Linked DNA regions of Tamandua tetradactyla. The protein of the gene in region 1 purifies or fractionates together with the protein of each later gene. This does not show direct contact. Links are inferred from orthologs where the notes say so. Each region holds a gene or a part of one and is shown on either strand. Other genes may lie near its edges.

The links.
Region 2: the proteins of ABCC1 (region 1) and VDAC3 fractionate together in Homo sapiens (co-fractionation; 3 studies listed by BioGRID). This does not show direct contact. The link is inferred for Tamandua tetradactyla from reciprocal best matches to the Homo sapiens genes ABCC1 and VDAC3.

What each region holds. Positions count from the first base shown.
Region 1 is NC_135349.1:38,147,125-38,154,700, forward strand, and holds the start of ABCC1 (multidrug resistance-associated protein 1), read left to right. Parts: upstream 1-4,541; 5' UTR 4,542-6,240; coding exon 6,241-6,336; intron 6,337-7,576.
Region 2 is NC_135329.1:17,993,127-18,000,634, forward strand, and holds the start of VDAC3 (non-selective voltage-gated ion channel VDAC3), read left to right. Parts: upstream 1-4,419; 5' UTR 4,420-4,627; intron 4,628-6,913; 5' UTR 6,914-6,915; coding exon 6,916-6,982; exon of another isoform or gene 6,983-7,023; intron 7,024-7,508. UniProt on the Homo sapiens protein: Non-selective voltage-gated ion channel that mediates the transport of anions and cations through the mitochondrion outer membrane and plasma membrane.

The sequences.
Region 1 (7,576 bases):
TTAGTACTAATACAGCATACTACCAGGAGTGGTTCATAAGAAACAGAATCTTAAAAATGGGTTTTTATGAATGGTTTTCTACTCTGACTTGACTCAAGGGTACTAAGGGCGCTGATTCCCATAATCAGAATGACACTCCCAATCCATGGAGTGAGTTGGCAAAAGAGATAGTCAAAATATCACCATTTGATTCTCCTAATACTTCGCTTATGTGAAGGCTCTGGGGGTAATGTTTTTGATACCTTTATGGAGTTTTGTGGAATTAAGAGGTATGGAGATGTTGGCTGGTTGTTGTTTGATACACTGGATATATTAAGGAGTGAAAGGGATGGGTTTAAGGTTTCAAATGAGAAGCTTAAGTGCCATATAATAGATGTAGAGGTTTCTATGAGTATCCTGAAGGAAAAATCTTATTTCCTGTAGCCGTAGACTTGAGATCTCTGAAAATCAGACTCAGAATCTTATTTGTTAGAGTAGCAACTTTGCAACATAAACTGAAATCTCAGTCTTGCATGGTGTCTGCCGTTAAAGTGAGGGCATTGATTGGAAAGGAGTGGGACCTGGAAAATGGGATGGTGACATGGATTGATAATGGTGTTGGGGTGAAGTTGAAACCCTAGGTCATACTGAGTCTTCTCTAGATAATCCTGTAATAGTCTGTCCCGAGGACACAGCCGCCCCACCTCCAACCTGCCTTGAGGGGTTGGCCACTCAACCTCCTCCTGAAGGATTAGCCCTAGAGGGATTAATCCTGTTTCACCAGTTGAAACTGCAAATGAATGCCCTGAAGCAAATGGCTTGGAAGATATTTCTAATTCTTTTCACCACCCACCCCTATAGCCCCTCATTTCTTACAGACCTATAACTAGACTAAAGTCCCAACAGGCCCCTAAAGGTGAGGTATCACACATGTGGAGGTATGTTATACTACAAAAGAACTGTGTGAGTTTTCCAATTTATATGGACAGAAATCAGGGGAATGTGTGTGGCAATGGATTTTAAGGGTGTGGGATAATGGTGGGAGGAATATAAGGCTGGATCAGGCTGAGTTTATTGATATGGGCCCACTAGGCAGAGATTCTGCATTCAATGTTATAGCTCGAGGGGTTTGAAAAGGTTTTAACAGTTTGTTGGTCGGTACATGGGTCAAAGGGTGGCCGACATTACCTGAAGTTGAAATGCCAGAACTGCTCTGGTATAATGTAGATGAGGGGATCCAGAGGCGTAGAGAGATTGGAATGTTAGAGTGGATTTATCATGCAAAGCCTGCTCTTACACCCCAGGAATGTCCGGAGGATGCACATTTTACCAGAACAGTGAGAAAAAAATTTGTTAGACTAGCGCCATCATCCCTGAAGAGCTCTGGAGTTACACTTTTCTGTAAGTCAGATATTACTGTGGAAACGGCTGTCACTGAACTGGAATCCTTAAATACAATGGGGATGACTGGATCCCAAGTTGGCAGAAGCCAGGTGGCAACACTTAATCGCCAAGGACAGGGTGGACATGGCCATTATAATAGATAGCAAACTCAAAAAGCAGGAGTCAAAATTATATGACTTGCAGAGATTTGTGGCATTGGCTAGTAAATCATGGGTACCTAGAAATACAGTAGATGGGCAGTCTACTAAATTCTTGTTTGATCTGTATAAACATAAGAGTTCTAGGTCAAGTCAACAGAAGTCTAACCTGAATTATAAAAACACAGAGTCACGGCCCCTTAATCAATTTCCAGACTTGAGACAGTTTACAGACCCAGAGCCCTTTGAATGAAGGGGAGGCCAGGTCCCTTTGGGGGAGAACCCTGTTATAGTGCTACAAATTTATACTGTTAATCTTCCTCCAAGCCTTCCCGAAGGAGGTTGATGACCTTTTACCAGGGTAGCTGTGCATTGGGGAAAAGGAAATGATCAGATATTTCAGGGATTATTAGACACTGGTTCAGAAGTGACATTGATTCCAAGGGACCCCAAATGTCACTCTGGTCCACCAGTCAGAGTGGGAGCTTATGGAGGCCAGGTGATCAATGGAGTTTTAGCTCAGGTCTGTCTCACAGTGGGTCCAATGGGCCCCCGGACCCAGTCTGTTGTTATTTCCCAAGTTCCAGAATGTATAATTGGTATAGACATACTGAGCAACTGGCAGAATCTCCACATTGGTTCTCTGACTTGTGCAGTGAGGGCTGTTATTGTGGGAAAGGCCAAGTGGAAGCCACTAGAACTGCCCCTACCTAACAAAATAGTAAATCAGAAGCAATACCGGATTTCTGGAGGAATTACTGCCACTCTTAAGTACTTGAAGGATGCAGGGGTGGTGATTCCCACCACATCCCCATTCAACTCTCCTATTTGGCCTGTGCAGAAAACAGATGGGTCTTGGAGGATGACAGTGGATTATTGTAAGCTCAACCAGGTGGTAAGCTCAACCAGCTAGTAACTCCAATTGGAACTGCTGTTCAAGATGTGTTATCATTACTTGAGCAAATCAGTATATCCCCTGGTACCTGGTATTGAGTAAATCAATACATCCCCTGGTACCTGGTATACAGCTATTGATCTGGAAAATACTTTTTGCTCGATAGCTGTTAGTAGGGACCACCAGAAACAGTTTGCTTTCAGTGGGCAAGGTCAGCAATATACTTTCACTGTCCTGCCTCAGGGGTGTATCAACTCTCCAGCCCTATGTCATAATCTTGTTCGCAGAGACCTTGATCGTTTCTCCCTCCCATAAGATATCACCCTGGTCCACTATACTGATGATATCATGTTGATCAGACCTAGTGAGCAAGAAGTAGCAACTACTTTAGACTTACTGGTAGGGCATTTGCGTATCAGAGGATGGGAGATAAATCCAACAAAAATGCAGGGGCCTTCCACCTCAGTGAAATTTCTAGGTGTCCAGTGGTGTGGGGCATGTCAAGATATCCCTCCAATCCTTCTAAGGTGAAGGATAAGTTGCTGCATCTGGTCCCTCCTACGACCAGAAAAGAGGCACAACGCCTAGTTGGTCTCTTCGGATTTTGGCGACAACATATTCCTCATTTGGGTGTGCTACTCTGGCCCATTTATCGAACTTCTTCCTTAAGAGCATTAATTCACCAACCCAGGGTTGAGGAGCAGACATACATGTTAGATGATGATCTGTCTGGGAACTGCAGTTATAGATTAATGGGGCACTCCCATATTTTGCTCCCCTGACCCCAGACCTGTGCACTAGGTAGGTTGTTTCGCCCTCCATGTTGGGGGCAGAGTTGGAGAAAGGGCTCACCTGGGTCAGACCCGCTTTATTCTTGGAAGAGTCTCAGGGGAGGGACAGGCCTGGGCGGTGGAAGGTCTAGAGATGCTCGGACAAGGAGAAGGTACATCTCCAAAGAGAGCCAGGGAGGTCGATAACTGGGCTCAGGAGGGCTGGTTAGGGAGCCTGGGTTTGAAAGTGGTCCTGCCACTTCCCAGTGGGCAAATGTGGCCCAAGTCACTTACCTTCTGGGAACCTCCATTTCCTCACCTGTAAAGTGGGGATAAGGATCATGCTGCAGCTCTTATGGGGCCCTGAGGAAGAAAGGAGTGACCACGTAGAGGGTGCTAAGGGGCTGGCATGTCGTAGGGGTTCCACAGATGCCAGCCGTGGTGATGAACAGAAAGGGGACAGTGGGGGACATTTGAGCCCAGTGGCTTGGTGCTTTCTGATGTGGCGATTTTCTGCTGGCTTCTCATCCCTTGGCAGTCTCTGGGCACTTGCAGAGTAGGCTGGGATGGAGACTGGGTCCCAGGGGTCAGAAGCCCGCCACCAGCATTCGAGACCACTTGAGGTGATGCATCCAGCCGTTGTTGGGTGTCTGTGCCCAATCTGGGTGGAGCATTCCAAGGACTCGTCCGGACAAGATGGGTATCTGGTGTCAGCTCTGCAATTGGGCTCGTGTATGGGGACACTCACCCAGAAGTTTTATTTGCAACTGGGGAGTCGAGAAACTTGCTTAAATACCAAAATCCATGGCACATGAGTGAAGGTAGAATGTGGCAACTTCCAGAGCTGCTGGCATTTACATATTTGGAAAGTTCCAGGTTTTCTCTTACTAAAATAATTGGTAATGATTGAATTACTGAGTGGGTTTTTTTTTTTCTGTTCTTGTACTTATTCTTTTCTTTGTCTGCCAGTATGAGAGATACAGTTTAAATGAAAGAGTACAGAAATGGACATGGCCTGAAGGGAGAATCTCTCATAATGACACTCTTCTAGAGATAATCTTTTATTGGCAGATTTTAATTTTCCGTCTCTCTTTTTCATGTTTTTTTTTTTTTTTGCATGGACAGGCACTGGGAACTGTACCCGGGTCTCTGGCGTGGCAGGCGAGAGCTCTGCCTGCTAAGCCACCGTGGCCCGCCCTTCAGTCTCTCTTTAATGTATATCTTAAATATATAATGTTTAAAAAATCAAGAATGGGATCCTATGAAAGCATGTTCTTTTCTTTATTTTTGTTTTCATTTACTAGTACATCTTGGATACAGGACTTTTTAAAAATTAACAGATATCTACTTGAAGATGAAATGTAAACATGAACCTAATTAATTTACTAATACTTGTTCCCTCTTGAGGCAGATGGCCAGAGTCTTTCTCTTTAACCTCTGTGGACAGGGAGGTCCTGGAGAAAGCAAGAGGCAAGGCTTGAGTGACGAGTGTTGAAAGGGGTACATTTTAGGTTATCTTAGATGCCCCCTCGTGGGAGACAGAACCTCAGAGGGTCTGTACCCCAGGATGTGAATTGTGCTAAAGGATGGGGCCTGAACCTCGCTGGTCTCACCGCTTGACCCCACTCAAGCTTTGAGGGCCCCCATGTCTGTGCTCTGGGACTCCAGCAGTGCGGAGGCGGAGCTCCCTGCCCTCTTTGAGCTTCCAGTCTTGTGGGGGAGACAGACAAATAAATGGAAAATCGGAACCATGAGGTGTGATGAAAGGGAGCTTCGTGGTACTCAGTGAGTGCAGTTGAGGGGTTTGATCTGTTCGGAGAGGAAAGGAGAATCTCCCCAAGGGAGAAGCCTGTATTGGGGCCGTTTGTGGCCAAGACCCAAGATACTGTGGCTTACGATAGAAGTTAATTTCTCTCTCATGTAACAATGCCAGCTGGTATGACTGCTCTTGCCCCCCAAATTGCGGGACCCAGGCCCCCCGATCTCGTGGCTCTGCTGCCCCAGGGTGCTGCTGTCCTCTGCATGGAGCCAGGTGGCCCACCCTCAGGGACACGTTGCAGCCAGTGGGAAAGGGCTGAGCAGGGCACAGCCTGGAAGTTGCCCACATCACTTCTCCCCACTGGCCTGCGTTTAGTCATATGGCCACGGAGCGGCCAGGGAGGCTGGGAAATGTAGTTTCCCTTCGGACGCGCATGCGCCCTACTGAGGATTCTATTACTGGGCATCAGGGGAGAAGGGATATTGGTGCGCAGCTAGCAGTTTCCGCTACATGGGCAAAAACAGAACGTGAGAGTATTCCAGGCAGTGGGAAAAGCATGTGCAGAAGCCCCAGCTCAACTCGGATAGTGTGGCTGGAGCTCAGAGAGCAGCGCTGGGAGGGGAAAGGCAAGAAGAGGCTGGAATCTGGCCCTACAGGTCTCGAATTCACCAGGAAGCTGTGGCTGTCTCTTCTCCCCTGCTTGTTCAGCCTCTAACTCCTATACTACCTTTTAAATATTATCCTCAAAGGCAGCGTCCTTCCCAAGAGTTGGAAAGAACCAATAACGAAATCAATTCAAGTCTTTGCTTTATTCTTATCTCTACTTTGTGCCTTTGGTTTATTATTATTTAATAAACTTTTTATTAATAAGTAAAATAACATGTATTGAGAATTACTCCAGATCAAGTAGTTTTCTAAGCCCTCCTTGTACATATCTTGTTTGAGGCTCAAACTAGTGTTCGGTAGATGCTTTTATGATCTGTTTTTTAATAGAAGGGGAAACTGAGATGTAGTCACATTGGCCCAAAGTCACAAAACTAGCAAGGAATATAGACGGTATTCAGACCTGGCAGTTGGAACTTGAAGCTTGCCTTTCTCTCCACTGTGCTTCAGCTCAGTCATTTGTGTATTGTTATGATGTTGACAACTATATTTCAGCACATATCTGTTAGAATTGCATTCTGCTGAAAGAAACAGCCTGATTCCAGTGGCCTAAACATTAAAGGTATTCCTTTTTCTGACATATCGAGAGATCTAGAGTTAGGCAGGCATTGCTGGCCTTTGGTTAGTGACACAATGGTGTCAGAATTGATGTCTTTGCCATTTTCTTTGTTTTTCCCTCAAGGACCCAAAATGGCTGCTTTAGCTCTAACAGTCACAACTGGATTCAAGGTAGGAAGCAAGAAGAGCAAATTGGCCACGTTTGACCTTTTTATTCAGTTAAGTAAGTAAAAAGGTTTCCCGAAAGCCCTTCTCTGCACATGATAGATGTCTGCTCACGTCTCCTGGCTGGAGCTGGATCTGAAGATGACTTTTAATGTGTATGGGAGGCACGGAAAGTGAGCATTTGGTTTTATACCTCTAGTGAGAAACAGCAAAGAAGAAGGGAGTTGGGAAAGGCTGTTGAGTAAGCCAGCCAGCACATACTACATATGTATTTACATAATGCTTTAAATTAATTTAATTTTTTTTAAACCTAAATAAATTTGTCTCCAAAGGAAGTTTCATATCACTTTAGAATATCTGAAATCACGGTTGGTGATCTTCGTGTGTTTACCCTGTAGCTATTAAAATAAATACATCACTAAAGTACAATTTGGAAAAGATATTCTGCGTACTAACAAGATCAGTGATTCTCAACCCAGGCCGTTTTGCTTTCCAGTGGACATTTGGCCGCATCTGGAAACAGTTTTTGCTTGCCCCAGTGCGGAGTGGGAAAAGCAGGGAGGGCCTACTGGCATCCAGTGGGTAGACGCCGGGGATGCTGCTTAACGTTTAACCCTACAGTGTCCAGAACAGCCCCCCACAAGAGAATTGTCCAGCCCCGAATGACAGAAGTGCTGTGATTTGGAAACCCTGGGCTTAGTCGTACGCACATGCTGCCAGAGGTGTGCACAAGCCATCTTTTGGGGAGTATTGCAGTTGATCAGTCACTTGCTTATGTGATTGTTTTCTCCTGCATGGTTTTATCAGTAACCCTTTACATCTGCAGCCTGCATGTAGGTTTTGAGGCCTGTTCCCACAGATAATGCCAGATCTGCAATAAACCTGTGCAGGAGTTTTAACGTGTGGATGTGAATTCAAGATATTCTTTGCCCCTTGAGTACCTTAGAAACTGGTGAGGGGGATGCTCAGGGACCCTGAAGCCGAAGTGGTTGAAATGACACCTTTGCCAGGCAAATCCTCTCCGTGTGTGTGATTTGGAAGGACTATTGTGCCTGTAGCCAGTGTTTCTCTGGCGAAGCTGGGCAGGAATCACGGCTTCTCAGTGGCCGTGGCCTTAAAGAGGGCTGTGCTTTGGTGAAGTAGGAGACTTTATTGCCTCCTTTGTGCCTAGACTTGGCAAAATCGACCTGGCCTGGCAAGTTGGCCTTGGGAATGAACTGTTGAGACCAGAAGGCAGCTGGCAAAT
Region 2 (7,508 bases), on another chromosome or scaffold:
AGCCTCATGATCGAGGGCATGGCCTATTGATTTGTGTAGTTGTGAAATTTGATTAGATTGAGATGTGACTCCACTCATTCAAGGTGGGCCTTGATAGTTTACAGGAGTCCTTAGGGGAGACATTACGAAGGAAGCTTAGATGCTTGCAGTGCTGACAGAGAGAGCAGATGCACATGAGACCCAGATATTTGGAGATGCCAGAATAAAATGCCGCTGGGGAAGCTGCTGGAAACCAGAAGCCAAGGTGCCAGTCATGTGCCTTCTCAGCTGAAACAGGTGTTCCAGACCCATTGGCCTTTCTTGAGTCAAGATATCTTTCTCTGGATGCCCTAGTTTGGACATTTTTATGGCCTTAGAACTGAAAACGTGCAACTTAGTAAATTCACTTTTCATAAGCTGTTTCAGGGTGGGCCACAGTGGCTCAGCAGGCAAAGTTCTCACCTGCCATGCTGGAGACCCAGGTTTGATTCCTGGTGCCTGCCCATGCCAAAAAATACAAAACAAAACACCCCCCGCCCCCGCCGGAAAAAACCATATGGATAGAAAAAGCAGTTCCATTTCTAGTATATTGCATTCTGGCAGTATTAACAAACCAATACCCCCTAGATTTCATAATCTTATAATATTCTTATGGTAGTTGAGTTACCAGATCTTCACAGTGGGGCCTCTGTTCTCATGTTATTTTCATTTCTGAGAGTAAACTATACAAATCTTCTGACATTTTTTTCCAAAAAGGCAACATAGGCAGATCAGAAGTTATCTTGACTTAAGTGGGTAATCTGTATTGGAACCTGCTCATGATGGGGCACCCATCTAATGGGTCTCCACACCCACAGGGCAATGATATTTTGGGTGTTTCCTCTTGTTTCAGCTGTGAGCATGGAGCCCTATAGATAATAAGCCTTAGCACACATCTCTCAAGTGAAGGAGTTCCTTCTCCGCTCTAAAATTCTGTACATTTTATAAGGGAAGAATACTGTTATCATGATTTTGACTGAGAGAGTATTTTCTATGCTTCCCAAGAATTCAGATCCAAGTGTGGGTGGGGGCATGAGAATTTGCAGTCACTTGCTGGTGTAGTTTCTGGAGGTGGCTAAGGCCAGGGTCTTGATGTGAACAGTGTGGTCACTGGAGCTGCATAACCCCCAGAAAAACATGTTTTTAAAGTTAAGTCATTCCTGTGGGTGTAAACCCAGTATAAGTAGGATCTTTTGATGAAGCTACTTCAGTTATAGCTTTTTTATATATATATACTTGAGGTGTGGTGCACCTCAACTGGGATTGATTTTTTTGTTTAACCTTTTTTATTGTATAACATAGCATATATATAAAGCAAAGAAATAAAAAAGCAATAGTTTTCACAGCACTGTTTAATAACTGTTTACAGAGTTTGTCATGGGCTACCACATGATCCTCTCATATTTTTCCTCCTAGCTGCTCCAGAATATAGGAGGCTAGAGGGCTTAAATACTTTATTATCATAATCTACTTTCTTTTCCTTCTTTCTTTGTGAACAATAACATATATACGAAAAAGCTATAAATTTCCAAGCACAGCACCACAATTAGTTGTAGAACATATTTTAGACTTTGACATGGGTTATAATTTCACAATTTTAGGTTTTTACTTCTAGCTGCTCTAAAATACTGGAGACTATAAGAGATATCATTTTAATGATTCAGCATTCATATTCAATTGTTAAATCCTATCTCTTATATATAATTCCACCATCACCTTTGATCTTTCCATACCTCTCATTGGGGTTGTTTGGGCTATGGCAAATTCTAAATTTTTGATATTGGAAGTGTCTGTCACTAGTATGGAGTAGGGAGATGGAACTATCTGATGTTCTGGAGAGGCTGGGCTAGGTTTCAGGACTTATCTGGACCAGGGACCCATCTGGAGGCTGTAGGTTTCCAGCAAGTTAACTCTAGTGCATTTGGGATTGATCTTAATCCTATTATTGGGATACTTTCTAAGAGAATGAAATTCACACAGGGAAAAAAAAAGCCACATAAGCATGAAGCTGAAAGCAACAAAACCTGAAAGAGAAGGGAGAGAGCAGCACACACCACCATGTGCTTTGCCATGTGGCAGAGGAGCCAAGGATCACTAACAGCTGGTCTTCAAGGAAGAAAACATTGCTTTAGGGATGCCTTGATTTGGTCATTTTTCTGGACTCTAACCACGAGCGAATACACTCCCATTGTTAAAGTCAAACCATTTCATGATATTTGCTTTGAGCAGCCTGGGCAACTAAAACAGACAGTTTATCAAAAACATTAATCTGGATCCAGCTAAATTGACAGGGCCAGAGGGACACGAAACAAAGGAAGGATTTCCTCCTTCATGACTGTTTTTCCTTCTCGGTTTCGCTCATCATCTTCCTGCTTCAAATGTCGTGAGAGAGAACAAGTCTCTGTGGATGATCTGGGAGTGGTGTTATTAGGTCCTTTCAGAAAAAAGATATTTGGATAACAGAAGAGGAAGAAAGGAATGTTGTCAAATTCCCATCCAAAGTGTTTATGACCTTAGAGGTACCTGTATATGACAAGGCCAGAGCTGAGCCAAAAAAAAAGGCTGAAGTTGTGACTCTAATGAACAAGTGTCCCGAGAAATAACTACATACATGAACAAATATCGTTTCTGCTTCGATTGCTTTTAAACTCATAATAATTTTCATGTTATTAACTAATGAATACTTTCCATATGCCAGGTAGATTGTTATGTGCTTTGGATGCATTACTTCTTTTAATATTCACTACAATCCTCTGAGGTAGATATTACTTAGTTCTGTTTAGGGATATGAAACTGAGGTAGAAAGGTTAAGTAGCTTGCCTAATACCACAGAGCTGGCAGCTTCTTTTGACTCTGAAACTCATTCCATTCAGCCTATTATGCTATACTGCCTTGCTTATGACATTTATCATATTCTGCCTCATTCAGTAGTTTTTCATCCAAGTCTTAGATTATTATGAGTCTCTTGGGGGTATTTATCTTATTTTTCTTTGGCTAACTTGAGATGCTTTACACACAGCAGGCAAATAGTATTTGGCTATTGATTTAAGTAAGCAGCCTGGTGTTGTGGACTGAACATCAGAGACTTTATATTATTTTTCTCCCCAATTTTTAAATTTTGAACATCTGAAAACTCATTGAAAAGTTTCAAGAATAGTGCTATGAACACCCATATACGTTTCATCTAGATCTTCCAATTCTTAACATACGTCACATTTACTTTTCCGGTCTCCCTTTCTCTTTTCCTGGACCATTTGAGAGTTATGTTGCAGACCACGCTATTTTACTACTACACACTTCAGTACTAATCTTTAAAAGCAGACATTTCTCTATAATCCAAATACTATTATTACCCAGAAATACTTTACATTGTTATGATACTAATATATGTTCTATATTCAAATTTCCCCATTTCCCTAATTAACCCAGTAAGGTTCCTTATTCATCTTTTTAAATTCAGGGGCCAATTTAGGACCAAGCATAGCTTTTAGTGTCCTGTCCTTCTTTTGTCTCCTATAGTCTAGAACAGTTAACCAGACTTTAAAAAAGAAAATTTTCATGACATTTACGTTTTTTAAGAGAATTGTTTTTTAGATTATACCTCCGTTAGGATTTGTCTGATTGTTTCTTTATGAATGACACGTTACACACTTTTGGCAAAAATATTACCTTTGCACTTTTTTCTGTGTATCCCATCACGGGGCACATGATGCCAGTCTGTTCCATCCCTGGGGATACTGAGTTTGATCACTTGGTTAAGGGTGATTTCTTTGGTGTAAAGGTATCCTTTTGTCTTTGTAATTTACTCTGTAATTTACAGGGTGATACTTCGAAACTGTAGGAATATCAATAGTCCACTCTCCATGGAAAATTTTTGCCCAAATCAGTTGTTAGTATGGTGGTTCCAACGCGGCCATTTACTATTTCTCCATAATTTCTTCCACATTCATTAGTTGGTATTCTTCTGTAAAGAACGTTCCCTTGCTTCTCCTCCCCTCCTTGGTTTTTAATCTACCGTTACTCGTGTGGCCTTGAATAAGTCACTTACCCCTCGGGACTTCTATTTTCTCATCTTTAAGATGAGCTGACCTAAGGGTCACATTTTCCAATTCTAGTCAGTGTGAGATGGGATTCCCATAAAGATCTGCAAGACATCCCCCAAGAATGAAACGGTCATGGCCTGGCGTGCCAGGCCACTACATCCATCTGCAGAGGAACCCCACATCCTCTTCTAGCGGATTTTAACTAGTGACCTCGAGGCGTTCACGCGACAGTCAACCCCTTCCAGGGCTAATAGGTGCGGTCCCCGGGCCTTTCCAGCACCGCGTCAACCCCCACCTCCCAGACACCTGCGCGCCGAGCCCTCCTGCGCACGCGCACACACGAAGCCAGACAGTTGGTGGTGTTTGTTCGCCCCAGCTGTTCTGCTCCTCATCCAGGCTGGCCGCGAGCGAGCCCTGCACGACACTGCGGCGCAAACGCGGTGCGGGACGGGAGTAGGGACGCGCAGGCGCCGCGGTGGGCGTGAGGTCGCGCAGGCGCGGACGGCGTTGGTTTGAAGAAGACCTTCAGCGTTGCCCGGGTGGATCCGAGACAGGCCCTGTAGGAGGTGAGGCGGGGCCGAAGCCGTGGGCCGGCTCGACCAGCGAAAGGGCCACGGGAGCGGTGGGTCGCGACAAAGCAGGGACCCGACGAGAGACGGACCTAACGGAGGGATAGGGAAGGAGAGAGCAGTCTAACGGGGCGTGATTGTGGCGCCGGCCAGGCGGGGCAGAGGAGAGCAGAAGGGGGCGGTGGTCCCTGTCAGAGACCTTGCTCTCCTTGCCGCCTCAGGTCCTGCGCGCTCTCTGTGGAAGAGGTGGTGCTCCGAGAGCAGAGCCTTGATCTTCCCCTCTTGCTAGTGTGCGGACAGGACTTTCTTTCCAGGAGTCAGGCTAGAAAGGAGGTTGGTTCCTAGGGAAGTTGAATCGTCGAACCTCAATCCCACCCCACCTCCGCCCCCAGCTTCCTCTCTGGAATAGTTGTCAAACATCTCGGCAACTATTCCGCTCCTTATGTCCAAAGAGTGTACGTGCAGCTTAAAAAGGACAAACGAGGAACAAAAGGAGCGCTATACTTAATGTCGTGTTAGTGATTGGGTAAAGCAGTATTACCTAGTTAACGCCTTCCCCCCCCTCTGTCTGCATGTAATGCAATACCAGTGTAATGTGCATATCAACAAACAAGAAGCGCATTTTATAGAGCTAATAGAAATATGTGACTATAGCTTTACTCTCGTGTAACATGAAGTTTCTGTGTCTCCTTGATTTTTTGCTTGATCATACCAGTAAGACATTTTCCATTAGAATCATGGACCAGAAGAAGTAAGCTTGAACTGGGCAGAATTGAGAATAGTTAGTAAACTACACCAGCTAACGTCTTTTGCAAATTATTTGGCAGTGGTTTTGAATAATAAGGAAAAATACTAAAAGACAAATAGTAGTTAGTACCCACATGTGTTTGGTGCTTCTAAACATTAACCAGTCTCTCGGGAGTAGATGAAAAACCAGATATGAAAAGCCTTAACATTTCTACTTGAATATATAGTGCCTGCTTTTCTATGCTTACCTCCCAAATTAGAGTTCTGACAAAATTTCAACAGATACCAGCATAATTTGTGATTAAAAAGAGTAATATCATCAAAATGAAATTGGAACTGTACTAAAAAAAAGTCTAGAATCGATCATTTGAGTACAAGGGATTGAATTGTAAAATAACTGTTCTGTAAGTAGACTATGAAACCCTATGGCTTAGAGCCTAGTTTTATTATGATATGAGTCAGTATATTTATATTGATATATTTGATAGGTTTAGGTTACAGAGTAATTTTAAATGAATTGCCAATTGATAAGTGTATTTTAAATGTATGCCATGTGCAGGTATGATGGTATGGGCAGAAATTTAGCAGAAAATTTAATTAAGAGTTAGGCTATCTAGAAGTAAATATTAGTTTGAATGTATAGGTAGTTCAGGCATAGGAACTGCAAATGCTAGCTGGTGCTCTGGTATAATAATCAGGCTAATGGGCCTGCTTGAGTGGTTCTGGATTTGGTTAGACATGGCTTTTGAGTTTACACGACTTGACAGAACAGAAACAACTGCAGAAAAACATTTCCCATTATAGAAAGAGGGCAAAGGAATGATATATTTGGCAGTGTTGATAGTGCTGAGAATTTGATATGAGGGTCAAGGTGAAAAGTTGGCTGAATCCTAAATAGGCAAGATAGAAAGCCAAGGCACCTTGGGTTTTGAAGGCTTTCACCTTAGGCTTTATACCAATTGTTGGTAAACTGATTGCTCCAGGTAGAATCCATTCTACTTCTGGTTAGTAAGTATGATTCTTGACTTCATTTTAAAAAGGGCTTTGAGAAACAGCATATTCTGGCTGAATCCATTTCATTTAGTATGGTAAATTCTTATTTTAAGAACTGAATTTCATCTTAATAATAATGTTAACCCTGAGGTTTTGATTGTATCTATTCTTAGAATTCTTTAAAAAATTTACCTCGTTGGCTCACATACGCTTTGGCTTCTATAATAGCCTGAAAAATGTTTTACTGAGATGAATTTGGGAAGTCCATTTTAACAAAGCATCTCCTTCAGGCTGTGAGAACTTTTTTTTTCTTTGGAAATGCAATCAGAAAAATGACCTCTGTGACTTGTGGGAAAACCCTTTTATTCCAGTGTTCTGGAAAGCTCTTTCTTTTTAAGGAGTAAAATGCCTTCTCTTAATCTGATTGCATAAGGGTATAAGCTTTAATGATGCAAAGGAAGAGACTGTATACCTTTTCTCACTATGGCTGAATAAATACTAAATGGTTATTTTTATTCCTTTGATCCCATTTTTCCTTGTAAGATATGTGTAACACACCGACTTACTGTGACCTAGGAAAGGCTGCCAAAGATGTCTTCAACAAAGGATATGGTAAATACGCTATTGTAAATTTCCACCTTGGGGAGTTTGAGGTCAGTGTTGAATTCCTACTATGTGCAAGATACTGTACTAGTAAAATAAGAGTAAGACAACATTAACCTACTTCACAAGATTTAAGGGGATAACATGTTATTAGACTTCATTTCTTAGGAATAGAGTCCCTTACAAGCAATACAAGCAATTTTATGTATACATACATACATAGGTAATATAAAATAATATAAATCAATAATATCTGTGTCTCCCTTGGCTAGCCCTGGGGGCAGTCAAGGCAGGGTATAATTTTTGTGTCCCTTCAAATATTGGTTGTGTTTTCATAAGAGTGAAGGTGCGGCTTTTTACTTCTTTGGAGCAACATATTCTTTGATCCCAAAAAGAAATTTATTTTTAGTTTTAAAACAATTAAATTCTTAATTTCCTGTGCTATGCACGTTTGATTTATTCGTTAGCTAGTAATGTTAATTGTATATATTAAGCTTGTATATTTATCAACATAATATTGGTTCTTGGAATGGTA